Saccharomyces cerevisiae S288C: one gene and its partners. The main gene of each other region encodes a partner of the protein of the gene in region 4 in a complex. Each region holds a gene or a part of one and is shown on either strand. Other genes may lie near its edges. A codon is read from its position in the direction of its gene.

Region 1 (3,690 bases), on a different chromosome or scaffold from region 4:
GTAACGAACAAGAAACTGTAGTTTTAACTTAAATCAGGTCCGGATTATAAAGCCGATGTAGCAGAAAAACGGGTTCACGGAATACAATAGCCAAATAACAATAAATAAATAAATAAATAAATAAGAAAAAAAAAAAGCAAGTAAATAAAACAAAACGGGATGCAACAAGCCAAGGAGGGAAACAATAGAAAAATAACTTAAAAATCTTTGTCTAGATTCCAATACTTTCTCCCTCCTCCCACGTTATTTGTCTAGCATGATCAGGTACAATGCCCACCGATATGAGAAAAAAGAGTGAAAAAAAAAAAATGACGAAAATGGTTCCGCGGATCTAGCAACTTTGTTGGAATGACCGGAAAAGACAGTTGTTTCCTTTCCAACTATTTTTCATTCCTGGTCTTTTTCCTGTTGAAGCCCAGCATTTTTTTTTTCGCGTCGCGTTTTTTCACAACAGTTCGGATCACGTGATAATCACTGCACGTGACTATCATGTGATACGATAGCCGGGTTATGATCCCCTTTTTCTTCCTATTGGAATACTGATTTTACAGTGGCTAGTACTGGATTTGAGTATAGGAAGGTGTTAGCAACTGTAAGGTACTATTCAGACCGTTAATCCAACGGATCATAAGAGCGACAGAAAATGTCTAGTAGTAAATTCGAAGAGGTCATCAACAAGATCATCAATGACAGCCCTCCAGGAGAATTAAGGGAAGTATACGACGATCTAATCAAGATCACAAGTGAAAACTCCAAAAATACTATTTTGGATGCTATTGAGAATTACAACGTGCAGAATTGCATCCCTATAGAAGTCAACGGGAACTCTGTAATTATTTCCAAATACAACAAGGAAGGAGCAAAGTTTTTTGATCCCGTAAATTCCGTAATATTTTCAGTTAACCATTTAGAGCGCAAGGGCCTTGACATTGAACCATATGAGTTCACGCATGCAAAGATAGAGAAAGGGCAATTGAAAGAACTGCACGATAAATTGCACGAATATCTTCTTCAGAGCTTTCCAGGTGATGTCAGTTTTGCTGTTTACCCAGTCCCTGAGGAAATAAGTAAAATTTCTATTATTATTGTTAGCACCAAATATAATCCAAACAATTTCTGGAACGGCCATTGGAGATCAAGCTACATCTACGATTTGGAGACCAGGGAGTTATCCGGTCAAATCTCTACGCAAGTCCACTATTACGAAGACGGTAACGTTAGTTTCCAATCTGGGAAGGATATCAATCAATCTAACGTTGATGACGTTGTTTGCACAATAAGGGATATTGAGACGAATTTCGAAAATGATCTAGATCTTTCATTTTTCGACTTGAACGAAAAACAGTTTAAGGCCTTAAGAAGAAGATTACCAGTCACGAGATCCAAAATTAACTGGGGTAGTGCGATTGGCAGTTATAGATTGGGTAAGAATGCGGCAGAAGGCAAATGAAATTTCATGCCTGCCTTATTCCATTCTCTTCCTATTTCTTAAATTGAATACATCTATGTACATTATTTATTTTTGGCTTGATTGGCTCACTAAAATAACTTAAACAGGGTATATAGAATGAAGAATATTAATAACGCCAAACCCACCATTCTCCATATGCTATTACCAGCCTTTAATGATCGGGTTAACCTTGAGGACGAATTTTTGATATCGGTAAACATCGATCCCAATGAATCTGTCATTTGGTTTATGACAGAACTGTCAGAGACCGCTCGGTCTCCAATCTCTTGGTTTATGTTTCTGAATGTAGCTAATTTATTGGCTAACCCCTCTAGTTTCCTATCATTCTGTTTAAAGTACATGTACATGAAGGGATGATACATCTGCTCATCCGGTGTACAGAAGCAATAGTTAGTAGCTTATAACATCCATATAGCAAGCTAGGTCCCATTCTAAACACCTATGCGTGTTGCCGGTGATTTACATACGTTTGATTCGGTCTGAGAATACCTAGAATTTGACATCGCTATGATGATTATATATTACCTTTCTACCGTTCTCTCCTTGTTGAGTTCTTCCAGTATCCTTCTTAATGATATACCTTATATTATTTCCTCTTTTTTTTTCTGCATGTAGCAATGCGCGGCTTCTTGCAATAACAAGAAAACTAGAGTAGCTAATTTACTGCATGAACCGTACATTCAGCAACAAGAAACATAAGATACTTACCGCACAATATTCATTGGTCAGTTACCGTACACACGAAGATCCTTTCTGAGTAGCGTAGTTTAAGGGAGCACACATTTTTAAATTCTAAACATTGCCTCAAGATGTTCTCCCATATACAAGGAAGGAATATTGAGCAACATGGTTAATCTGCCAGTTGCAACAACGCAAGTGTTATTAGAAATATTGTTCAAGGAAAATATCAGATAAAAAATTTTTCGCACTTCGCTAATCACCCATATAGAACATGGCGGTGTTCCAAGTGATTAGCCCTAGATCGCAAATTATATCATCATTCAGTTACCTTTCTCATTGAATCTTCTTGATAAGAACTACTGGTACCTCAAATAGGAACGAAATATGATACCACTGTATCATACTATCATTCTCAACACATTTGTTATATATTTTATGTTTCTACTGAACCTTTTGTCAGTCATCTCACTAGCAGCTGCGATTAACAGTCATCGGATATTTAAAATTGAAGCTTTTAAAATTGAAGCTTTTAAAATCAAACATGAATACACATTGGAGTTCACTGAAGAAATTAGGTTTAAATAAAAAAATCCAGCATTAGTTGTGAAGTAAAAAAAGACAAAACCAGCAAATTCTTGCCAGAATGTAACTATACTCTGAGTAAAATAATTGACAGCGCAAATACACCCATACACTATTTTTACATCTTGACATCACATACATAATATGTGTGAAATATCAAATTTTGAGTGTCCGTTATCAATTTTTTTTCGATTTTGCATTTTATGAAGCTTCAAACAGGTGTCGGCCTAACTTTCCGCCCGGAAAAGAGCGGTTTACGAGAGATTGCTGCTTGCAGCTGCGTGCATTTTTCCATAATCGGGTTTCCCTTCAGCGCGCAGTGTTTCCATTCTCAGCCCAATTGGCAACGGAGAGAGCGTAGAGCTTTCAGTGGACTGCCCTTCGTACTCGTCGAGTACTATTGAACTGAAAAAAAAGTAATCTAAGGTTAAGTTGATCAGGTCTGCCGATTGTATAACAAATTTAATTGTTTGTCTTAGTGAACAAAGAGAGTCGTGAAAAATAAAATAAACAATGTCCACCGATTCTATTGTCAAGGCTTCTAACTGGAGATTAGTCGAAGTTGGCCGTGTGGTTTTGATCAAGAAGGGTCAATCCGCAGGTAAATTGGCCGCTATCGTCGAAATTATTGACCAAAAGAAGGTATGTTAAATCCGGAAAACCTATCATCGATTTGAGGAGGGAAATGAACGAGGAATGAGATTTAGGCTACGAAAAAGTGCTGGCAAATATCCAATCCGTTACCATGGATGAAGCTACTTGTAAACGATAAGTAAATGTGAAAATACACATTGCGATAGAGATACAAAAAAGTCTTTATTTCCCTGTTGGAGTGGCCTATAGTGGATTATTTATTTATTTTGCTAGCAGCTTACCTAGTTTCAGAAAGGTGATGACCCATATTTGCGCAGTTAATTCTTAAAGAGCCTGACCATGTTTCCTCAAATATTAAACCA
Region 2 (8,423 bases), on a different chromosome or scaffold from region 4:
GATTGGAAACATGGCTGGAATAGTAAGCATAGGTTACTATAGAAAGCGGTAACAAAAAGCACTACTATGTGTAGATAAAGAACAAAGAGGTAAACGAATATATAAGTAAAGATGGGTAGTATGTACAGGAATTATTAATTGATGAGTCAACGTTCAATCACATCCGGTCTGATTTAGAGGATTACATGAGAAAGAAGCACTGAAAAAATTTTCCACCAGGAGAGGCCAGGTAAACTAAGACCTACGTTATTCACTATGCCAAAAGATTTAAAAATATAGAATGATGAATGTTGCCAGAGCCATTGATGATAAGAAATTGCACATAACGGATGCATAAAGAGCGAATAAAAAGATTTGAGTGTCAATACAAAAAGGTGAGAAGAAATAGTGTAAGACAGCAACACACATCTAGACCGCCAATGAAGTTGTTCTGAATCCAGCAGTAGAGTTTATTTAGTTCAAAGTTTTACTAACGATAATTAACTTTTATGTTTTCATTTTAAACAGAGGGTACTCCTTCATTCGGTAAGCGTCACAACAAATCTCACACCTTGTGTAACAGATGTGGTCGTCGTTCTTTCCATGTTCAAAAGAAGACCTGTTCCTCTTGTGGTTACCCATCCGCTAAGACTAGATCTCACAACTGGGCTGCCAAGGCAAAGAGAAGACACACTACTGGTACCGGTAGAATGAGATATTTGAAGCATGTCTCCAGAAGATTTAAGAACGGTTTCCAAACCGGTTCTGCTAAGGCTACTTCTGCTTAAATTTGATATTATCTATAAGTTTTGTTCTTTCCTAAAACGAAAATAATATAAATTATATATAGTTAATATTAAGCATTACAAGGTTTCTATAAAGCGTTGACATTTTCCCCTTTTGATTGTTGCCTTACAGTCCCATTGAGATATATAATGAATCGGCCTCCTCTAGTGTGGTTAGATCGAATGATTTTGACTCAAGAATAGTTCTTGCCATTTCTTGAAATTTCTCATCGTACTTTACTTGCATTATTCTCCCCGTTCTTTTATTCAATTGCATCTTCAATTCTTCTTCGATATATTCTGGTAAATCCTCAAAGGCATCTTCGTAATAAGAGGCTTGATCCTTTATCGTCAGATCATGCAAACTATCTACAAGGTGTCGATGATCTCTCATTTCTCTTTCGTTTGCTGTCACAGTTTCGGTTTGGCATACGAGAAACCTCCATAGTGACATAATCAATTGGCTTTCTACCTGCTTGATTTGTTCTTCACGCAATTGTTTGAAATGGTCTTTCCATAGCCTATATATTATGGTTAAAGTATGTTCAATAAGATGGCATCTGAGGTCCAAGTTCGGGGAGTCTTGTCCCACGTACCTTTCTATCATTAACGCTTGCTCCCTGGATAAGAATTTAGAGGAGTGGATGAGCATTTCTCCATTTACTATGGTCGCATCGTCTCCATAGATCATTAATAAATTTTCAAAAATATTTAAAACTTCATCTTTTAACTTCAAAAGCCATTTTTCCATCTTGTAACCTATTATAGGGGCAGTGAATTTGTCGCTATCCATCCCAATATCCTCTTTAGAAATTACCCTTGGGACACTTTGCAATCGGTCAGTATAAATCAGCTTTGATATCAATCCTCCCAATTCATTATCACCTATATTTCGGATTAACCCAAAAAAGTCATGGTACTTCGACATATGAAGAGTTGTAGTATCCACATTTTCATTATATACGTCGCCACTCTTAATTTCCTTTTCCAAAAGAGCGTATAATCTTGTAATACAATCTCTCCACCAACTACCGCTTATCAAGGATTTCAGATCTGAGGAATTGTCCATATTTAATATTATACTAGTGATAATATTAACGACCTCGACTGCACTAAATATTACATTTACCATTGGCTTGTATGAAATGGTTAGTGCTAGTTTGTAGACAAATTCAAATGATTTTAGAATATTTTCATCAAAAAATTCCATATAAGTTTGCTTAGGATGCGACTGCAGTACCCTTAATATACCTTCTAGGAGATCAAAGGAATACGAAATTATCAAATAGTCTATCAGTTCATATTGGAAAATCTGAGGTTCTACATGCAAATTCATATTTGATTCATGTATCGGTACTTTCAATACATGATGATAGATTCTTATTAAATCGCAAATAAAAAGAAAACAATCCTTCAGTGCTAAATTATGAGTGGCACTAGGACGAAATTGTACAATCTGATACATCAATGCAACGAGAAATGGGACAGCTAATTTCGATTCATTTGGATGAACTGATATTTCCTTGATCAAAACAGCTATATCCTCTAGCAAAGTATCTATGAACCTGTCGAGGGTCAACGTCTTTTTACATCGCAAAAGTAGAGAAACTATGGACTTCCCTATGGGGGCTCCTTTAGCAATGACGAAATTCTTAAATTTAAACTCTGTGATGTAGTCAAGCTTCAATCTATTTAATATTTCTATTGTGCTCAGGTCAGCGCCTATTATTTGATGAAGTAATATTGACTCTAGAAATAAACTCGTTTCATCGGGAATAATCCTATTTGGGTTTAGGGGAACCATATTTTTTTTCAGTAAATTATCACTTATCTTACGTTTTTTTGATTGTGGTGATTGAGGTTTTGCTTCGATTGCAACTGAGGACGAATCTGGCGTTATAGTGTTTGTGTTTGTTGATAATGTTGTTGACGGTGGTTTTACATTCGTAATAACTTCCCTTTTCGATTTTCCTCTCGCTTCCATCTGTAAGAACTTCTTCTCATCTTCCAGTTTCTGTAATTCTTGTTTTAATTTAGCCAACTCTTGAAGATGCTTGACTTGCAATTCATTAACTTTGACGGCTTGAATATTCTTTTCCTTTTCCCTTTCAATGTTCAAAAAGTTTATTTTATCACGAAGCATGCTTGCTTCACCTTGAGCTTTATTCAGTTGGTTAACCAGTTGGTTATCATTTTTACTCTGTTTATTGTTTAATGTGGTCGTTGTAACCTCCAAAGTAGTGGGAATTTGTGTTTGTAATGCTGCTGATGATGGCGGTATTTGAGTAAACCTTGGAGGCCTGGTGCCTAATTCCAAAAGAATATCATCATCGTCATCTGAAGAAAATTCACCCACCGTTTCTCGTCTCATCTATAATAGAAATATGCAAAAGAGTTTGATGATTGTGTTGACGTTTCGTGCACTATCGCGTATTTGTTTGCTTTTTATTTTATTGCATGTGCTGTTTTCCCCAAAAAATCGATGGAACGCTCGGATTTGGCTAGAGGCGGGAAAAATCACCAATAATCGAAGAAAATAGAAGAACCAAGATACTAATAGCTCTTTGTAAGATAAATTTTGGAGTTACTACAGGTTACTATCCTTATTCAGAGACTTTTTACTGCTTTGCTCCTAATATTTAGTAGGAAAGAGCGAGCCTGTCTGACTCTTTTTTTTTTAAAAAAATTCAAGGTAAAACCTAACTAAACATAAAATTTCCACTCGAGTTATTCCGCTTAAAAGTGCTTAACATCGGTGCCACACAATACGAACCTTAGTAGAGAACCGACCGTTACCTCTTTATTAGCCCTAGTTTGTACCACTTAAGCTCTAATTCCAATCTAATGTGTGTGTATTTTTTTCTATTGTTAGCGCCGCACCAAAGAGGATCATGGTAAATACAATTACATAAAGAAAAGAAAAGCAACAAAACAGCTTCGTTTGCACCTTTAGCAAACGTTGGAATTTTCCTAATCTCAAAACAAGTGGTAAATCTAATCCCACACTAAAGAAAGCACGTCTTTACCAGTGACTTTATCAATAAATCACCTGCACACGCTGTCCGGGTAAATAGAATTGTTACTAAATAATGAAAAATACATTCGCAGTTGTAAAAATGCCAACAGAAATACCTGATATACAGTTAACAAGTAAGATCGGATCACGCTGCCAAGGCGCATAACAAACTATAAAGCCATTAAAGATTATGGTCGTGACATTTTTGCAGGACCTGGAAGTTTTGCAAGATGCATTATTAAATAATTTGCAAAAATTAAGTGCAATCTCCCGCAGAAAAGAAAGCGGAGAAAGCAAGCATGATAATAAGGACAGTTTTGCAGCCATTGCCAACGAACACAATGATGAAGAAGAAGAGATTGAATTTGAGGATTTGGTGAATATTATAGAGAGCAAAGTTTCAGATTTCGAATCGGTACTGAAATGTAGTATTGTGGAAATGACCTACAAATACCCCGAATTAAAATTACAGTGGGAAAAAAGCCCTAGATACGATCAATGCGATAAGTTGCATATTGTGAAGCTTGATAAACAAATGAACGAGGACATATATGCTCAGTTGGTCGAAGAACTGGATTTCGTGTTGCAATTCGTCGATTGGTTCTATTGCTACCGCCTGAAAGTCAAAGAGATTCTACGACAACACCACAAACGTGACTTAGCTTGGAACGACGAGAAAAGAGACCGCGCTATAAAATTTCACGCTGTGGATTACGACAAGCTTCACCAAGGAACGTCGTCATCGTCAAGCTTAACGTCCACATCGATGGAAAAAGCCAGCACTAGAGAGAAGCTTTTGAGCAAAACAAAACAACTGACGAATAACTTGGTGAGAGGAAATCAAATTTTGCAGTCCGGAATTTTACAAAGTGACCTGAATTTGGATGAATTGAGAGCCCAAACCAATTCCTTAACACAAATCGATGACAAGTACACTCAATTCGAAACCGTCTTCAAGAAAACTGCCGATTTGGTCAAAGTACTGGAAAATGCCTCCCATCAAGAGAAACGAGATGTCTATTTATCACTTGGGTTCCTCCTATGCTGCGTCTCGTGGGTTCTATGGCGTCGTATTTTCAAGTTACCTGTTAAACTCGGCCTCTGGCTGCTATTCAAGTTTTTCAAGGGTATACTCGTCACCCTAGGTCTAGTTAAAAGCTATGCAGGCTCCTCGTCCTCTCTTCAAGCACCCAGTCTTGTGCTAAATGCACCCATTCTAGCCACTACAACTACATCCTCAGCAACCTCTGTGGAACCATTCGCATCTGTATCAGCCGTCAGTAGTATCCAGCGGGCTGTCGATGAGGCCGTGGACAGGATCGTCTCACATGATGAGCTATGATAATTTTAACATCTATATAACATAATAAGCGCATATACTTAGTTCTCTCCATCCTCTCCATTTATTTTCTCTCACCATTGTTTCTGTTCTCTTCACATGCGTTAGGTATAGCTTATACCCCCCACTGGTTGCGCTAAATACGCCTTCCCCACCGCATGTGAAAAAAGCTCGACCAAGCTCAACGCGCTGTTGCAAAATGGAAAAAATATAAAAGGAATCAAGCCATAGTTGAGAAAAGACCTTTCACACTTGGGCTTTTCTTTGGCAGGTGTTTGCTCTATTCTTCTCTTTCAGTTTGGTGCGCTATTCAGATTTATTGGTCGTCCTACTGTATACATCTCTTTCATTTTCTTTGTTTCTGCAGTGGGTGTTAAAATGGGAATACACATACCATATCTCACGTCAAAGACATCGCAATCAAATGTTGGTGATGCCGTTGGCAACGCTGATAGTGTAGAGTTCAACAGTGAGCATGACTCACCTTCAAAGAGAGGTAAAATTACACTTGAGTCACATGAAATACAGAGGGCTCCCGCTAGCGATGATGAAGATAGGATTCAAATTAAACCCGTGAACGACGAGGATGACACGTCGGTCATGATCACTTTTAACCAATCTCTTTCGCCCTTCATCATCACTCTGACTTTTGTCGCATCCATATCCGGTTTCATGTTTGGTTACGACACTGGTTATATATCCAGTGCGCTGATCTCGATCGGCACAGATCTGGACCACAAGGTACTTACTTATGGGGAGAAGGAAATTGTCACTGCGGCTACCTCTCTGGGAGCTTTGATTACCAGTATTTTCGCCGGTACTGCAGCTGACATATTTGGTAGGAAACGTTGTTTAATGGGTTCGAATCTGATGTTTGTCATTGGCGCAATCTTACAGGTCTCCGCACACACATTCTGGCAAATGGCTGTTGGTAGACTGATCATGGGTTTCGGTGTCGGTATCGGCTCCTTGATCGCGCCACTTTTCATCAGTGAAATTGCTCCCAAAATGATCAGAGGGAGACTAACTGTCATCAATTCCTTATGGTTGACTGGTGGTCAATTAGTCGCTTACGGTTGCGGTGCTGGGTTAAACTACGTCAACAATGGTTGGAGAATTCTTGTTGGATTGTCACTAATTCCCACTGCTGTGCAATTCACATGCCTGTGCTTTTTACCTGACACTCCAAGATACTACGTTATGAAGGGCGACTTGGCAAGGGCTACTGAGGTGTTGAAGAGAAGTTACACTGACACTTCGGAGGAAATCATTGAACGTAAGGTGGAAGAACTTGTTACTTTGAATCAATCTATTCCTGGTAAGAATGTCCCTGAAAAAGTCTGGAATACCATCAAAGAATTGCACACAGTACCATCTAATCTAAGGGCTTTGATCATTGGTTGTGGTTTACAAGCAATTCAACAGTTTACCGGTTGGAATTCGTTGATGTATTTCTCTGGTACCATCTTCGAAACTGTCGGTTTCAAAAATTCTTCCGCTGTTTCAATCATCGTGTCCGGTACCAATTTTATTTTCACTTTAGTTGCCTTTTTTTCCATTGACAAAATAGGCCGTAGAACCATATTATTGATTGGATTACCAGGCATGACCATGGCTTTAGTCGTGTGCTCTATTGCTTTCCATTTTCTAGGTATTAAGTTTGATGGCGCTGTCGCTGTGGTGGTTTCCTCCGGTTTCTCCTCTTGGGGTATTGTGATCATCGTATTTATTATCGTATTTGCTGCGTTCTACGCTCTTGGTATCGGTACTGTTCCATGGCAACAATCGGAACTATTCCCCCAAAACGTGAGAGGTATTGGGACTTCATATGCAACTGCTACAAACTGGGCTGGTTCACTGGTTATTGCATCCACATTTTTGACCATGTTACAGAATATCACTCCTGCAGGTACATTTGCCTTTTTCGCGGGATTGTCGTGCTTATCAACCATTTTCTGCTACTTCTGTTATCCAGAATTATCGGGATTGGAGTTAGAAGAGGTACAAACTATTTTGAAGGACGGGTTCAACATCAAAGCCTCGAAAGCTTTGGCCAAGAAGAGAAAACAGCAAGTTGCCAGAGTTCATGAATTGAAATATGAACCAACTCAAGAGATTATAGAGGATATATAGTCCTTTCACGAGGTAAAAGGAAGGAGACGCAATTGAATATTCAAATACATAGTAGAAAATAAATAAAAATAAATTACAAGATAGAAAAAAGTTCATTGTATTTAAGTCGAACTAATTGTTGTATGCATATATAGAAGATTAACTAACCCGGCATTGAAGACCTTTTTTTTTTTTCACCTTGAGAGAAATACTGAAAATTTTTTTTGCTGGGATGAGATGAGATGCCTACCTAAAGTATTTCGAAGGTGAAAGCGTTTTATTATAGAGTACTGAAATAAAGCACAATCAGGAATAACAAATTAACTGACAATGGCACCTTTAACCAAGAAGACAAACGGAAAACGTTCTGCTAAAGAAGTTAGTCATTCAGAAAAGAAATTAGCCAAAAAACCTAGAATTTCTATTGATTCGTCTGATGAAGAATCAGAACTATCCAAAAAGGAAGATGCTGTATCCTCTTCATCAGATGATGATGATTTGGATGATTTAAGTACCAGTGACTCTGAAGCAGAAGAAGAAGCTGACGAATTAGATATTTCCGATGACAGTGAGGAACATGAAAATGAGAATGAAGAGAAAGAAGGAAAGGACAAATCTGAAGGAGGTGAAAATGGAAATCACACTGAACAAAGAAAACTGCTAAAAGAAAGGAAAATGCAAAGAAAATCTGGTACCCAAGTGCAACAAATTAAATCCGTCTGGGAAAGATTGCGTGTGAAGACCCCACCTTTACCAAAACAGATTCGTGAAAAACTTTCCAACGAAATCTGGGAGCTATCTAAGGACTGTATCAGTGATCTTGTCTTAAAGCATGATGCTTCCCGTATTGTTCAAACTTTAGTCAAGTATTCGTCCAAAGATCGTCGTGAACAAATTGTCGATGCTTTAAAGGGAAAATTTTATGTTCTAGCCACATCTGCGTACGGTAAGTATCTATTGGTTAAGTTACTGCATTATGGTTCAAGAAGTTCAAGGCAAACTATAATAAATGAATTACACGGTTCTTTGAGAAAATTAATGAGACATCGTGAGGGTGCCTACGTTGTTGAAGATTTATTTGTTCTTTATGCCACACATGAACAAAGACAACAAATGATTAAAGAGTTTTGGGGCTCTGAATATGCTGTATTTAGAGAAACCCACAAAGATTTGACCATTGAGAAAGTTTGTG
Region 3 (8,075 bases), on a different chromosome or scaffold from region 4:
GCAGCATACCAGGTGCCAGTTCTCAGCAGCGTCAATTAAGTAAAACTCCTAGCGTAACAATCAAGTCCTACCCTGACACAGATCTTTCAAGTGATAGTAACTATCTCGAAGTCAAAAGTTGCATATTTAATGGATTATTAGGGCTCGTTTGTCTTAATGGTGATATATATGTTGCCGTCATATCTGGTGTTCAGAATGTTGGGTTTCCTCGATGGAAACTGATAGATCATCAAGTTAGGCCTTCGGAGAGCATTTATAAAGTATTGGATGTTGACTTTTACAGCTTAGAAAATGATGTTTTCGACTACCTCCTCTGCGAGAGATCAGAGCAAAACTATGATAAATTGATTCATGAGCATCCTTGCGGCCCCCTGAAAAAACTGTTTAGTGATGGAACATTCTACTATTCTAGAGATTTCGACATCTCTAATATCGTGAAAAACCATGGTTTATCACATAACTTAGAATATACCGTAGATAATCAAGATTTATCATTTATTTGGAATGCTAACTTAGCAAGTGAGGTAATCAACTGGAGAAGCAAGATTTCAAATGAGGAGAAACAACTTTTTGCCAACGCAGGGTTCTTAACATTTGTAATTCGGGGTTATTGCAAGACAGCATTAATAGAAGACGGCCCAAATACAGCCTCTATAACCATTATTTCCAGAATTTCGACTGAGAGCAAGCAGGATACGCTAGAATTGGAGGGTATTAGTGAAGATGGGAGAGTGTCGCTATTTGTTGAGACAGAAATTGTAGTAACCACAGAAAAGTTTATTTTTTCTTATACTCAAGTGAACGGAAGCATTCCTCTTTTTTGGGAATCTGTAGAAAGTCAACTGTTGTATGGAAAAAAAATTAAGGTAACAAAAGATTCTATTGAAGCTCAGGGAGCTTTTGACAGGCATTTTGATAATTTAACCTCAAAGTATGGTGTTGTGAGTATCGTTAATATCATAAAACCTAAAAGCGAATCACAAGAAAAGTTAGCACTGACGTACAAGGATTGTGCTGAATCAAAGGGAATAAAAATAACAAATATAGAATACAGCTCAAGCGTTCTGACAAAGTCTCCCCACAAATTACTTTATTTATTAAAACAGGATATTTACGAGTTTGGAGCGTTTGCCTATGATATCTCTAGGGGCATCTACTTTGCAAAACAAACGGGGGTATTAAGAATAAGCGCATTTGATTCAATTGAAAAACCTAACACAGTTGAAAGGTTAGTGAGCAAGGAGGTACTTGAATTAACCACAAATGAAATTGATGTATTTGAATTGACTTCCCCATTCTTGGACGCACATGATAAGCTATGGTCAGAAAACTATTACTGGCTTGATCGAACGTATACTAAGCACACGAAGAATTCTGGTAAATATACAAAGGTTTATTCGAAGTTATTTGGTTCCCGAGTTAGATTATACGACCCGCTCCATATCTACATCTCTCAGTATTTAAAGCAATTAAGGTCAAAATATACGTTTGAGAAAGACATCTCAATTTTTGCAGGTACATTTAATATAAGTGGTAAAATTCCAAAAGATGATATAAAAGATTGGATATTTCCAAAATCAATGTCCAAGGAGGATGAAATGGCTGATCTTTATGTTATCGGATTAGAAGAAGTGGTAGAACTTACCCCAGGTCATATGCTTGCTACCGATCCATATGTCCGACAATTTTGGGAGAAGAAGATATTAACACTATTAAATGGGCCCGGACGCAAAAAAAAATATATCCGTTTATGGAGTACACAGTTGGGTGGTATTTTACTATTATTATTCATGAATGAAACGGAATATTCCAAGGTAAAGCATATTGAGGGGGATGTTAAAAAAACCGGGTTTGGAGGAATGGCTTCTAATAAAGGAGCTGTCGCGGTTAGTTTTAAATACTCAGCTACAAGATTTTGCGTACTAGTATCTCATTTAGCGGCAGGCTTAGAAAATGTTGAACAAAGGCATAATGATTATAAGACGATTGCGAAAAGCATACGATTTTCTAAAGGATTACGAATAAAGGATCACGATGCAATTATTTGGATGGGCGATTTCAATTACAGAATATTGATGTCAAACGAAGATGTTAGACGAAAAATTGTTTCTAAAGAATATGCCAGCCTATTTGAAAAGGATCAACTTAATCAACAAATGATCGCAGGTGAGTCTTTTCCATATTTCCATGAAATGGCGATTGATTTCCCACCTACCTATAAATTCGACCCAGGAACTAAAAACTACGACACGAGCGAAAAAATGAGAATACCAGCATGGACTGATAGGATTTTAAGTAGGGGAGAAGTACTAGAACAGTTAGAATATAAATGCTGTGAAGATATACTATTTTCCGATCATCGGCCCGTATATGCCATATTTAGGGCTAGAGTGACTGTAGTGGATGAACAAAAAAAGACTACTTTGGGTACGCAAATCTACGAGAAGATTATGGAAAGGCTAGAGGGATTGGATGATGATGAGAAAATTGCAGTTTTGAGTGATGATGCATTTGTTATCGAAAGTTTTGAGGGCAGTGATTCGATAGCTGGCCCTACGCATTCTCCGACACCAATTCCCGAGCCCAAAAGAGGTAGAAAGTTACCACCACCTAGTTCGGATTTAAAAAAATGGTGGATTGGAAGTGGGAAGCAAGTTAAAGTAGTTCTTGACGTAGACCCGGCCGTTTACATGATTAATCCTAAAAGAGATCCCAATCCATTCGTTGAGAACGAAGATGAGCCACTTTTTATAGAAAGGTAAGTAAATGATCATTAGTGAAAAGATTATATATAAATATATTTATTTAGCGTTCCTTCCCTATGCGGCTGTGAGCGTACTCTCTATTTTTGGCTGGAACTTTTTGCCAAATCATTGTTGTCCCTGTGTAGATCTTCTAACTGAACTAACAGAGAGTCCATTTTCTTTTCCATTTCATCCAACTTAAGTTCGACTTCCGAGATTTTCTCTTCTCCTCCTTTTAGTAGGTTCAAAACATCTAAAATATCCTTTGCGCCTGCAGTACTGACATCTTCGGGTGTATCACGAGTCATATTATTGACGACGAGTGAAGTGTTCTGCGATTTCTCTAGAGTAATTGATTCAGTTGCTCTTTCTCAAAATTGTGTGATTAAATATTATTTCTTTGTCAATATTTACCCGGCCTTTTAAATTTGTATCACCACTTGAAGAACATGCTGCAGTTGCCGGTTAGCTTCTAACCACCTTTCGATATAGGAATCGAAATAGGAATCGAAATTTATTTCTAGGCCCAAGGATCAAAATATAAGTGTATATAAACACACACACACACATATATATATATATACGTACATGCATAGGAGAGGATCTTATTTTGGAGATTCTATCTGGGGTTGCTCGTGTTTATCCACAACAGGGGTTGTAGTGTCTTGTTTCCTCAGTTTCTTCATTATTTCTTCAAAAATGGGACAAAGAGATGATTCTCTGTACATTTCTACAAGCGTTTTTTTACTTGAAACTTGATTCTCAATCATTTCTACAAATTTTGGATCTATAGGAACGTTACCAAGGTATGGGACAGAAAATTGCTCCGATAATCTTTTACCACCCCCACTGGAAAAGATATTTGTACACTCAGCACAATGCGGGCATACAAACCCTGACATGTTTTCAATTATACCGAGGATCTTTAAATCGACCTTCTTGCAGAAATTGATTTCTTTTTTGACATCAGCTGTTGCAACACTCTGTGGGGTAGTTACTACAATACCACCATCTGGTTTGGAATATCTCAGCTCCTCTGCAATCGATATATGTTCATCCGACGTTCCCGGAGGGGTATCGATCAGTAAGTAATCCAGTTCACCCCAGGCGACGTCAGAGATGAATTGTTTTATCATAGAAGTCTTCTTAGGACCCCTCCATATCACGCTGTTCCCTCTATCACCTAGTAGAAACCCCAATGATATTACACTAAGAGAGCCAGTAGAGTTTGTCTCCACTTTCACAGGTTGCCAACCTTCAGGACCTTGATATATAGATTCGTTCTCTAGGCCAAACATCCTCGGTAAGGATGGCCCTGTTAAATCAATATCTAAAACTCCAACTTTGAAGCCCATACTGCAAAGAGTCAGCGCAGTCTGTGTCGTTACCGAACTTTTACCGACACCACCTTTTCCGGAAAGGATCAATATGATATGTTTTATTCCTGCCAAAGAGGCCGCAGGAACGCCTATCTCCTGTTCCTCCATGCTTAATTGTAATAGTCGTATTAGTTTTGGGTGCTCCTCGACGCATGTGTATAGTTTTCATTTTGATGGTGTAAAACGTTCATGACTAATGAAGCCTTCCGATTTCTTTCCATTTTGCTATTACTTGCGCGATGAGCCGTCTAATGTGATTCTTCCAAATAATATCTAATAAACCCATGGTGTTTACTCTGTGATAGGAACCAAAGATCCCGTAATTATCGCTTTGTAATTGTATTTCCAGTTATTTCTGTACATTCTAGGTTACTGTTCAGGGATATGTTTCACTCTTATCGATGTGGCGTGCAAAAAATTTGAAGGGGCGACATATCAGGGAAAGTATTAGTGATTTTTTATAATGTTGCACTATCTCAGATGAAATTTATGCATGCTAATTGGCGGATACTACTCTACCGTTGTTGCAAGCTACGTAGGAACGTTCACGGCTCTTTCTTCCATTAATTTTAAATTGCGAAAGTATCCAGTAGTTGTTAAAAATGGAGTTTTTTCAACTCGCGCCTTTTGCCAAGGAATGGTAGAAAACAAACAGTAGTTCACTTGAGACTGTGAATGTGTTAGAAAATGTGATTGAAGAGCCTCACAACACTAGGCTACACAGATGAGTTCAAGGTATGAGAAATTATTAGACTATTCTAAAGTTAGAGTAGCGCTTTTTGTTAAACATCTACCATAACACCTCGATATTGGGAGTTATTGACCACGAGTGAACTTCGTTTACTAACTATAGCGTGTGTATATAGATTTGCAGGGGGAAACGCTTATCAACGTGATACTGGTAGAACACAGTTATTCGGACCGGCTGATGGATCAAATAGTCTCGATGACAATGTATCATCAGCGCTAGGGAGCACAGATAAATTAGACTACTCCCAAAGTACTTTGGCATCTCTTGAATCTCAAAGTGAGGAACAGATGGGAGCTATGGGTCAGAGAATAAAAGCACTCAAGTCATTATCGTTGAAGATGGGTGATGAGATTAGAGGCAGCAATCAAACTATTGACCAGCTTGGTGATACTTTCCATAACACTTCTGTAAAACTCAAAAGGACTTTTGGAAACATGATGGAGATGGCCAGAAGATCTGGGATCAGTATAAAAACATGGTTAATAATATTTTTTATGGTAGGCGTGCTATTTTTTTGGGTATGGATTACATAAATATTTGCATATTGTACATTAAACCTAAGTGACAAAATAAGAGCGACGTTTGTTAGATGATTGTAGATATTGATACGTGAAATAAAGGATAGTTATGATAGCATCATAAGATATCAGCATTCTTTTATTTTTATAACTACTTAAGCGTTTAATCTTGATTTTTTTTTTTCTCCATATTTCCTAGGATACCGACAGCGTTCCTTTTCGCCCTATAGTGTTTCCTTACTTTGTATCTTCTGTAAATAGATGGACCTTTGAGTATTGCGATAAACAAAACAATAACAATTAAGTAACCGGGCATGCCGTTCCCGTGGATTATGTCTAGGAAACTGAGGACATTATGGAATGGAGAATTTATCAATCTCCCCTTCAACTTAGAGCTGTATAGAGCTTTTGATGGAATATTTAAGGACACGAATGCTTCTCTCAGCAATTGAGGGTTGTTAGAAGTCAAGGAGTTGCCAAAATTATCTTTATTGTAGTAGTAATTATTTGATTTATCAATGATAATCACATCACCAATTTTATATTCTCCAGTAATACCATATTTTCTAAAAAAATTCTTCTCCTTTGAAATATCTAAATATCCTAATAACAATTTTTTTTGATCCATATGGGGAATCTCTTCACGCATTTTATCAACAATTTTGTTAGCCGGAGCCTTTTTTTCCTTTATTTTCTTGATCCCGTCTGCTTTCCTTGCCCTTCTCTCATTAATTTCTTCGAAGTTATTTTCCATCCGAATATGTTCATACTCCCAACTTGCGAGGAGCAAGTTTTTAATAAGCTTGTTGCTTCCTTTGATATGTTTGTGGTCAGTGCTACTTATTAACTGAATTGCTAAATCACTGTAGCTCTTGGTTTGGAAGGAAATTAATTTTTTCAAATTAGAAGAGTCAACTTCGGTAACTAAGGGATTAGAATACTTTTTTACCCAATCCATAATGGCATCAATATTTCTCATTTCTGTTGTGGAGTATCCGGGGAAAACATAGGATATGGGATCACCATCTTTAAACATGAAAAAAGTTGGGAGTTGCGTAACCGTATTCATAGTAAAGTATTCTTTGTTAAAAACCTTTTGAGTTTGGCTGGCGTCGTAGTTGATCTTTTCATACATTCTTCCAAAAAGATTACGTGACAAATTTATTAGATTCTTGTCAATTTGGTGCAAATATATGTTTGGAATTTTTGACAAAGGCTCGATTAAATACTCCAAAATGTCAAAATCTTCAATAACAACAGTTTCGGGGTCATATGAAAAAACTAAATGGATATCATTATTAGTTACTCGTCCCCTTTCTTGCAGAAAATCAATGTCTCTGTTTGCTTTTTTTTCGAGCTCCCCTTCTGTTATATTGGGAAATTTACTGTTTGTAAAAGTCCTCCTGGCAAAATCTACATAGCCATCTGACTTCGCTGAGTAGCCATTGGGATAGTCGAACAAATTATTTGAGGTTTTATTGGGTAGGACTAATGCTACCTTGGGTTCTCTATCGGCTCTGTGGTTGGTTATTTTCACCAAGTCGCCAAAGCCCAGTTCTTCACAGATTGTTGGATTAGATTCGCAATTAACGTGGCCCGTGTTGATATCATCCACGGCTAACTGTCTTGAAATGATCTTCCAAGTCCTTTGGAATTCATGGCATTTGTCACAGTTTTTGAATTCTAGTGAATCATCGCTATTTTTCATATCTTTTGTTGGCCAGAAGGAAACCAAATGTGGCCTAGTCGCCTTACCAGCGATCAGCTCGAGAAAATCAAAGCCTTCGAGATACTGGCTCTCACTTTTAGCAGAATCCAGATCAGTATCGAGGTTATTTGGGTCCATAGACTCCCTGCGTGCAAATGCAATTAATGATTCTTTGGTCCTCGGTGTTTCAGTGAACGATTTGATGTATCCTGAGGGGTTATAAAGTCTAATTTCAGGGAAGTATTCAATATTTTCATCTCCACACAAATCGGCGCTCTCGATGCAGTTAACCTGTGAAAATGTTATGTTCAGTGTTTTGCTCTCCTCTTTAAACTCCTCCCATGTTTCCATCCAAACAGGTGCTAAATGTTTGCAGTGCGGACAGTATGGACTATAGAAGTCAATAATATGCAGCCCCTTAGATAGCTCTTCTTTGAAGTTTGTTGGATTTAAGGGCTCTGGAAAGCCCTCTGGTGGTTCAGCGGCGGCTATAGTGAATTTCAGCAGAAAGGTGATGCATGAGAAGAAGGTAACTACGAGCCTTTTCAGATTCATTTTCATGGCTGCTGCCTTACAGCTAGTTTTTATAGATAGTATTTTTCTTTCCTGGATAGAATTTCTTGAGGAAAATAAATAAGGAAATGAGTATCAACACGAGGAACAGTACAGGCGCCTTCTTAGTGCTATGATCTTCACTGGTTTATGCTTTACGTCTTTATCGCACTAAATTGAAGCCATTCATTTGTTCGCACCTATTTCCGCTTCAAAAATAGTATTTAAAAAAGAGACTATTTTGGTAAGGATAAGCTAAAATAGTGCCAAGAAAACGGCCAATGTAGAATATTGTCAAGACTATGAAAATGTATAAGTATATTTTGTCTATAGAATCATGTGGGTGTATATAATGTGTGCGCAAAGCATTTGGTGGGCTGTTCGATGCAAATCCTTTTAGTATTAGGAAAAGAGAGGCTTACC
Region 4 (8,260 bases):
AGTACGAACAAAAGTATAATGGCAAGAAGGATTTGAAACAATTTTTGGGAGCCATCAATGATATAAAAACTGATGAAGTTAAAAAATGGACACAATCTTTACTGGAAGATCGACAAGCCTTTTTCGACAGTTTGAAGGAGTAATAATGTGGCCTTTTGAAAGAAAAGTTAGTGCTTTTTTTTCTTTTCTCAAACCTTCACCTGGTGGTGCGTATCATTTATAATAACATCTTGATGCTTTTCAACGAGATAGTGCCCATTTTATTTTGCATGTATTATACTTCCAGCACCCGGTGTGCATTATATGTAACTTTAGAAATAATCTTTTGTATATTATTCGCGATTGAATGTGCGTGCTGCATTATCAACCAAGTTTTAATATATCTGTTTCTCTTATTTATTGTTAGTTAAGTCTTCGGCAAAACGATGGAAAAAATCATGAACTGAATAGAGACAAGTAAACCAAATTATAAACAAGGTTTCCCTTCTGAAGAGATACTAAGGAAGAAGAAGAACGACCCAATAATATTTCTGAATATGCAACCATTTGATAGTGGGCATGATGATTTAGTTCATGATGTCGTTTATGACTTTTACGGAAGACATGTGGCAACATGCTCTTCTGATCAACATATTAAAGTTTTTAAATTAGACAAGGACACGAGTAATTGGGAACTCAGTGACTCATGGAGAGCTCACGACAGTAGTATCGTGGCCATTGATTGGGCCAGTCCAGAATATGGGCGCATCATTGCTTCAGCCTCTTACGATAAGACGGTAAAATTATGGGAAGAAGATCCCGACCAAGAAGAATGCTCTGGCCGTCGTTGGAACAAGCTGTGTACCCTGAATGATTCCAAAGGATCACTTTATAGTGTAAAATTTGCGCCAGCGCATTTGGGCTTAAAATTAGCTTGTTTGGGTAACGATGGAATCCTCAGACTTTATGATGCCTTAGAACCTTCTGACCTAAGGTCATGGACACTGACTTCTGAGATGAAAGTGCTATCTATACCACCAGCAAATCATTTACAGTCTGATTTTTGTCTCTCTTGGTGTCCTTCGAGATTTTCTCCTGAAAAGCTCGCAGTCTCTGCATTGGAACAAGCGATTATATACCAAAGGGGTAAAGACGGTAAACTTCACGTTGCAGCAAAACTTCCCGGTCATAAAAGTTTAATAAGAAGTATCAGCTGGGCTCCTTCCATTGGTAGATGGTATCAACTCATTGCAACAGGTTGCAAAGATGGTAGAATTAGAATTTTCAAAATCACAGAAAAACTAAGTCCCCTGGCCTCAGAGGAGTCTTTAACTAACTCAAATATGTTTGATAATAGTGCTGATGTTGACATGGATGCACAGGGCAGATCAGACTCAAATACCGAAGAGAAAGCTGAGCTACAATCAAACTTGCAAGTTGAACTTCTAAGCGAGCATGATGACCATAATGGCGAAGTTTGGTCCGTGTCTTGGAATTTAACGGGTACAATCTTAAGCAGTGCTGGGGATGATGGGAAGGTACGTTTATGGAAAGCCACTTATTCAAATGAATTTAAGTGTATGTCAGTAATTACTGCCCAACAATAAATAAGAATATATGTATACATAACATTATATATTGGTACTTTATACGTGTGCATTATTCTGTATAATACGAGGCAACAGATGAATCAAGAAAGATGATGCTTTTAAAAAGCTCTTACAAATATAATGATATTACATCAAATGATATTATTATTCTTGATATTGGGTATTCTTTCGAATTATATCAAGCTTCCCTTCCCTCGCCTTTTCGCCTGGAAATTTTTCAATGCCGAGATTAAAAAATTTGTCAATGAAAATGCATTCTACTACTTAATAAAGAGGTGATGAGCTTATAAGCCAACTTCTTTTAAACACAAAACTAAATCTGATATTGAGGACCCCCACCAACTATGCCACCAAAAGAAGCTCCCAAGAAATGGAAGGCGCCAAAAGGGCCAAAACCTACCCACCGTAAAAATAAAAATAAGCTTGAATTAGGCAGAGCTATTAAATATGCACGTCAAAAAGAAAATGCCATCGAGTATTTACCTGATGGTGAAATGAGGTTCACTACCGATAAGCATGAGGCCAACTGGGTTAAATTAAGATCTGTAACTCAAGAATCAGCTTTAGATGAATTCTTGAGTACAGCTGCACTGGCAGACAAAGATTTCACGGCCGATAGACATTCAAATGTTAAAATTATTAGAATGGATAGCGGTAATGATTCTGCGACATCTCAAGGGTTTTCTATGACTAATGAGCAGCGTGGAAATCTTAATGCGAAGCAAAGAGCGCTTGCTAAGGATTTGATTGTTCCAAGGAGGCCTGAATGGAACGAGGGCATGTCCAAGTTTCAGCTTGATAGGCAAGAAAAGGAAGCGTTTTTAGAATGGAGAAGAAAATTGGCACATTTACAAGAAAGCAATGAAGACTTGTTGTTAACACCGTTTGAAAGAAATATCGAAGTTTGGAAACAGTTATGGAGAGTTGTTGAAAGATCAGATTTAGTTGTTCAAATTGTAGATGCGAGGAATCCGTTGCTGTTTAGATCTGTCGATTTAGAAAGATATGTAAAAGAGTCAGATGACAGAAAAGCAAACTTACTGCTAGTTAATAAAGCAGATTTATTGACCAAAAAGCAACGTATCGCTTGGGCAAAGTACTTTATCTCCAAGAATATTTCGTTCACGTTTTACTCTGCATTGAGAGCTAATCAATTATTGGAGAAACAAAAGGAAATGGGGGAAGATTATAGAGAACAAGATTTCGAGGAAGCTGATAAAGAAGGGTTCGATGCTGATGAAAAAGTTATGGAAAAAGTTAAAATTCTGTCCATTGACCAACTGGAAGAATTGTTTTTATCAAAAGCTCCAAACGAGCCTTTATTGCCACCTCTGCCCGGTCAACCTCCACTGATTAATATTGGTTTGGTTGGTTATCCAAATGTAGGTAAATCCTCCACTATTAATTCGCTCGTGGGTGCCAAGAAAGTTTCTGTTTCATCCACGCCTGGTAAAACAAAACACTTCCAAACTATTAAGTTATCTGATTCTGTCATGCTTTGTGACTGTCCCGGTCTTGTCTTCCCAAACTTTGCATATAACAAGGGTGAGCTCGTGTGTAATGGTGTTTTACCTATTGATCAATTACGTGATTATATTGGTCCAGCAGGTTTAGTAGCAGAAAGAATACCAAAGTATTACATTGAAGCGATTTATGGTATCCATATTCAAACCAAATCAAGGGATGAAGGTGGGAATGGGGATATACCAACTGCTCAAGAATTGTTAGTCGCATACGCCAGAGCTCGTGGTTATATGACTCAAGGTTACGGTTCTGCTGATGAACCAAGAGCAAGTCGTTATATATTGAAAGATTACGTCAATGGGAAATTACTGTATGTCAACCCTCCGCCCCATCTAGAGGATGATACACCTTACACTAGAGAAGAGTGTGAAGAATTTAACAAAGATTTATATGTGTTCGACAGATTACCGGACACCAGAAAGGAGCAAGTGCAAAATGCTGCTAAGGCTAAAGGCATTGATATCGTGGATTTAGCTCGTGATTTGAATCAGCTAACGTTTTCAGCTCACACTGGTGGTGACACACAAAAAGAAGCCAAATCTGTTACGCACGGTGGTAAACAAGCTGCATTGTACAATGCCGCTGAGGACTTGGATAGAGACTTCTTCAAGATGAACAACGTCGAAGGTAGATTAAGTACACCATTCCACAAAGTTCAAAATAGTTCAGCTGGTAAGAGACATAACAAAAAAAACAAAAGTAAAAATGCGAAAAGCAAAGTTTTTAGCATTGAAAATAATTAGCGGTAACTAACATATATCTTCTCAAAAAAACTGTGTACTATTATCTTTTCATCTCGCCAATTAATGACAGCGTTATTTGAGAATAGACCTAAGATAATAAAACTATGTTCGTTACCCGGACAAATTTTCTTGGAAGAATTTTTGAGTCCTAGAGATATTATAAAACGGCCCTCTATTAATTTGCTCTTTCTTTCCTCAGTTTAATTCTTCTTTCGAATAAAAAATAAAAATATCATGGCTCTTCAACACATTTCAACATGTTCAAGTAATTTGTGTTAGTGGATGACCATTTAGGGGCTGCTGGCCTGGTTACCGGGAGTTTTTCTTGGATCCAAGCTAGCTTTTCCGTCTGATTATCCTTAAGCTTCACAAATTACAATTTTTCCCACGCATTAAGAAATAAGCTCAAGATGCCTAAAATAAGTTCTATCCCGCCTTTTTTCGCTAACAATGACTGAGTATTCCCACAGTCTATAGTTTGATAGTAGATGGGCGGAAATTTTTCTCATATATTTACTTTTTATAGGAGAGTATATTTACGTACGTATAGTGATTGCATGTAGTTGCTCCCTATATCTTGTCATATGAGCGTGATACTGACCGATACCTGTTACAGATGTCGGTCTGGATTTGTTCGTTTTTCTTCCCTAAAGTAGGTCAGTATATATAAAATATGGCCGGAGGAAAGCTTCACCACTTTATCACCACTAAATTTATAAAGTAGAATACAATTTCAACATACACAGAGAATAAAAAAAGGTTGACAGGACACATAATAGCAAGGCAAGATGGCTGAAACTTCCAACGACCCCTTTCTGTCCTACGTTTTGAGTAGCAAACAATTAACTAATTTGAATCGTCTACGAAGGAAAGCAGTTACAAAACAACTGGGATCAAGTGACGACAATAAGGTCTCAGAGGAGTTTTTGAGGTATCAACATACTTATCAAAGAGAAGCATTTGAATATCTGCAAACAAAACATGACGCCCACAAAATAATGGAGTCACAGTACGAACAGTACCAAAGCAGTTCAAAAACAAGAAGATATAGTATCGATTTAGATTCTGTAGATGCAGTTGACACGGAATCGCAAACAGAATACCCAAATGAGGAGTTTATTGATAGAAACGAAGATAGCGAAGCTGTTATGGAGTTGAGAAAGAGATTGTTGGGGAAGGGACAGAATAAGGGTTTAGGATATGAAACTACGAAATCAGTCGATAGGCAAATTGAGGACCAGGACACGTTGCAACAGGATTTGATTCAGGATATGAGCAAACTTGTGGGCAGTTTGAAGCAAGGAGCTGTGGCATTTCAATCAGCACTTGATGAAGATAAGCAAGTTCTTGGAGCTGCAGAGATAGGTATTCAAGTTGCTTCTCAAGGTTTAATGGATGTTAGCGGTAAATTAAGGAAATATGACAAGAGTAAATTGAGTTACTTGTTTTATATTACTGTTTTCATTTTTATGATTCTCGGACTGGTGTTTACATTTATCATAATTCAATTATTCCCGGCCCTATAATGTAATTATAACGATGGAATGATGTTTTTTGGAAGAAAAATTCAACTGTTTATTAATATTTACGGCATTTTTTCATGTAGTTGAGATTATTCCTATTGAAAAAAGCAAATTGTGAGAAAAAAGTATACAATAAAATTTGTATAGGCTGCAGAATTCTCCTTTCCGTATAGTTGCCTACTTCCCGTCTCAAACTGAATCCTGCTATCTGATTGCTTTCTGTGTTGGTGCGGTGAATCTTTTTATACATATAATATTTGAAAAAGAATAAACATTTGAGAAAACAAAAGTAGCTAAACAAAACGACAAAATCATAACATTTCCTGATCTGACTGAAAGCTAATAGAACAGCAGTGTTCGATGAGGGTAAAATAAGGAGGGGTCTTCGGTTACGTTATACTAGTAAGTTGATTTTGATTTTAAGTCATATTATTGAACGCATTATGATGATACTCATAATGGACTAAATTTTTCTCATGTATAAGGTCCATAGTAGCCAAGTGCATTCCATTACAATGTTATTGATATTATCTGTGCTCTCAAATTCGGCTGAAGAAAACTACTACAAACACAACACATCAAATAATGTAACACAGCCTTGCTTATTGCCGGTGTAAGGGTCGACTATCTTCGATCTACTCATATTCATATTATCAATTTATTATCATATATGGTATAAGAAAATGACATGAACATTGAGAAACAACCAATAGATTAATTGGAAGCTGAAATGCAAGGATTAATAACTTGATAAATGGAAGTTAAAAGATAGTATTAATGATGACTAAATATGGATTCTGTTATCCTTGTATAAGAGAAGTATAAAACAAACACCAATTGGTTTATTATTCTCTTTTCTTCAATTATAATCAGTACAATAATGGCTCCAGCAGCTGTCACATATTTTAATGATGATTTGCGCATATATAACAGAGATAGGTTTAAATAATTTAATAATTGTTGGGATTTCACAACTATTGAAGGCTATAATATTATGTATAAAGAATATACCAGGAAGTCAACTCCCAGACCTTGAAATCCTCAAAATGAAGACGATAGTTTTACATAATAATATTACTTTTTCTTCTTTCCTTCTATATTTCTCCTTCACATTCATATTACGCTGACAATCTTTGCATTTCAGCTTCCACCAAGCCTGATCACCGTTTACCAATATTTGTGTCATTTTCTTATACCTCAGGTAATAATAAACTAGCAACCTGAATAATATCAAATAGACGATATGTTAAAGTTTCATTCTAACAATTACCACCCATTCCAAAATATCTATTGTTAGAGAGGCGTTAATAGAACAACACAACACAAAAATACTGAAGGTCAAAGTTTGTTGTATTACGGGCTCGAGTAATACCGGAGTGTCTTGACAATCCTAATATAAACGGTCTTAGGGAAGTAACCAGTTGTCAAAACAGTTTATCAGATTAATTCACGGAATGTTACTTATCTTATATATTATATAAAATATGAATCATATTAAGTGGTGGAAGCGCGGAATCTCGGATCTAAACTAATTGTTCAGGCATTTATACTTTTGGTAGTTCAGCTAGGGAAGGACGGGTTTTATCTCATGTTGTTCGTTTTGTTATAAGGTTGTTTCATATGTGTTTTATGAACGTTTAGGATGACGTATTGTCATACTGACATATCTCATTTTGAGATACAACAAAGTTCATAAAGAAATTAGCCATCTTAGTATAGTGGTTAGTACACATCGTTGTGGCCGATGAAACCCTGGTTCGATTCTAGGAGATGGCATTTTTTCCGAAATTTCGCCTTCTCGCACAACTTTCCAAACCCGACCAAGAGAAGGAAGAAATCATTTTTTTTGTTGCGAGTTGTCATAGAACGAGGTCGAGAAACAGAAGAGGAATTGAAAATGAATTGTAAAAGCGTTCGTTCTATGCCTCTAATAAGAGAGTACGTCTTGCTTGATGTGAACCCAAATGCCCACAAAACAGTACGATTTGCAGTTATGTAAATTTGTGGTTTGTCTCCTGGCAAAAAGAATGCATTCGTACTGCACATAATTGAAATAAGGATGTAGTTCAACTTCTATGAATGCTCGGCGATACGATATGTAGAGGGGACAAAAATATGTAGGTATCCTATGGTAAATAAATCGGTCTGTTTTAAAACCTGTTTTAGTGCAGCTTCTTTCCACGAAAGAAATAGTGTAAGTTAGAGGTACTTCTCTTTTACCTAAAGGAGGTGTAGTTATGATAAAAAGCGAAGCTAACTAAGACAGCTAAGCTCTTTATGTTGATAGTTAAAAGTTAACAGGTTGTATTAATGAAGAATGAATATGGATCTTTTTGTACTTATATAACAGAGGTATAAACCACATGCCGATTGTTTCATTATTATATATGGCTAATATAATGGTGATTCCGGCAGCTTCATACATTTAATGTGACGACTCATATTGCTCTTATATGTGACTTTCAGATCTCATTCAATTAATAGACTCTTAACTCAAATTCAGTACTTTCTGACATGCTCATTTACATTTCCTTTTGTAATAGTGCTTCCATACTTCATCGTATAGGATTTAAACATTTAGATCGTTACCATAGTAACTCATGTTACTATTAAATACCGCTCGTTTCAACACATTATATAATACTTTGGCATTGATACGCCACATAATATTCTAATTTCTCTTCAACACATAAGACAAACAGGGCAAATCAAGCAACAGGAAGGTATTTGCTTCTTAATGGCAAAACAGGTTCAGTTCCACTAAATAAAAAGGGGAAATTTACGTGTCATTTATTATGGGTTCAGAAATTATGTGTTAAGTAAAACACCTATAGCACTGGGGCAAATTCCGGCATCAATTTCAACGCCACCAAAATTGTGT

What was found.
Region 1: USE1 (region 4) and SFT1 share a complex: the UniProt entries of both Saccharomyces cerevisiae proteins name them as parts of the SNARE complex.
Region 2: the proteins of USE1 (region 4) and SEC20 are in contact, whole or in part, in a cryo-EM structure (PDB 8EKI), measured with the Saccharomyces cerevisiae proteins. Residues at the interface, in NP_011417.1 of Saccharomyces cerevisiae: Asn23 (codon at 4,711), Arg26 (codon at 4,720), Arg27 (codon at 4,723), Val30 (codon at 4,732), Thr31 (codon at 4,735), Gln33 (codon at 4,741), Leu34 (codon at 4,744), Gly35 (codon at 4,747), Ser37 (codon at 4,753), Asp39 (codon at 4,759), Phe46 (codon at 4,780), Gln50 (codon at 4,792), Gln54 (codon at 4,804), Phe58 (codon at 4,816), Gln62 (codon at 4,828), His65 (codon at 4,837), Asp66 (codon at 4,840), Lys69 (codon at 4,849), Ile70 (codon at 4,852); in NP_010786.3 of Saccharomyces cerevisiae: Asp14 (codon at 4,010), Leu17 (codon at 4,019), Asn18 (codon at 4,022), Leu20 (codon at 4,028), Gln21 (codon at 4,031), Cys104 (codon at 4,280), Leu107 (codon at 4,289), Ile109 (codon at 4,295), Val110 (codon at 4,298), Leu112 (codon at 4,304), Lys114 (codon at 4,310), Tyr121 (codon at 4,331), Val125 (codon at 4,343), Glu126 (codon at 4,346), Leu128 (codon at 4,352), Asp129 (codon at 4,355), Leu132 (codon at 4,364), Gln133 (codon at 4,367), Asp136 (codon at 4,376), Trp137 (codon at 4,379), Tyr139 (codon at 4,385), Cys140 (codon at 4,388), Tyr141 (codon at 4,391), Lys144 (codon at 4,400).
Region 3: USE1 (region 4) and BET1 share a complex: the UniProt entries of both Saccharomyces cerevisiae proteins name them as parts of the SNARE complex.

Annotation. Positions count from the first base shown.
Region 1 is NC_001143.9:428,659-432,348, forward strand, and holds SFT1 (Sft1p), read right to left. Parts: upstream 1,975-3,690; coding exon 1,939-1,974; intron 1,798-1,938; coding exon 1,540-1,797; downstream 1-1,539. Other genes in the region: CAP1 (Cap1p), read left to right, coding at 644-1,450; 60S ribosomal protein eL14 RPL14A, read left to right, coding at 3,248-3,376. UniProt on the Saccharomyces cerevisiae protein: Vesicle SNARE required for retrograde transport within the Golgi complex.
Region 2 is NC_001136.10:1,442,542-1,450,964, reverse strand, and holds SEC20 (Sec20p), read left to right. Parts: upstream 1-3,970; coding exon 3,971-5,122; downstream 5,123-8,423. Other genes in the region: 60S ribosomal protein eL37 RPL37B, read left to right, coding at 112-118, 508-767; LCD1 (Lcd1p), read right to left, coding at 892-3,135; myo-inositol transporter ITR1, read left to right, coding at 5,498-7,252; PUF6 (Puf6p), read left to right, coding at 7,562-8,423. UniProt on the Saccharomyces cerevisiae protein: SNARE required for targeting and fusion of Golgi-derived retrograde transport vesicles with the ER.
Region 3 is NC_001141.2:345,278-353,352, reverse strand, and holds BET1 (Bet1p), read left to right. Parts: upstream 1-4,847; coding exon 4,848-4,858; intron 4,859-4,989; coding exon 4,990-5,407; downstream 5,408-8,075. Other genes in the region: phosphoinositide 5-phosphatase INP51, read left to right, coding at 1-2,762; CMI7 (Cmi7p), read right to left, coding at 2,843-3,052; iron-sulfur cluster assembly protein CFD1, read right to left, coding at 3,350-4,231; protein disulfide isomerase EPS1, read right to left, coding at 5,556-7,661. UniProt on the Saccharomyces cerevisiae protein: SNARE required for targeting and fusion of ER-derived transport vesicles with the Golgi complex.
Region 4 is NC_001139.9:312,698-320,957, forward strand, and holds USE1 (SNAP receptor USE1), read left to right. Parts: upstream 1-4,644; coding exon 4,645-5,382; downstream 5,383-8,260. Other genes in the region: YGK1 (5'-deoxynucleotidase), read left to right, coding at 1-143; SEH1 (Seh1p), read left to right, coding at 537-1,586; ribosome biogenesis GTPase LSG1, read left to right, coding at 1,934-3,856. UniProt on the Saccharomyces cerevisiae protein: SNARE required for targeting and fusion of Golgi-derived retrograde transport vesicles with the ER.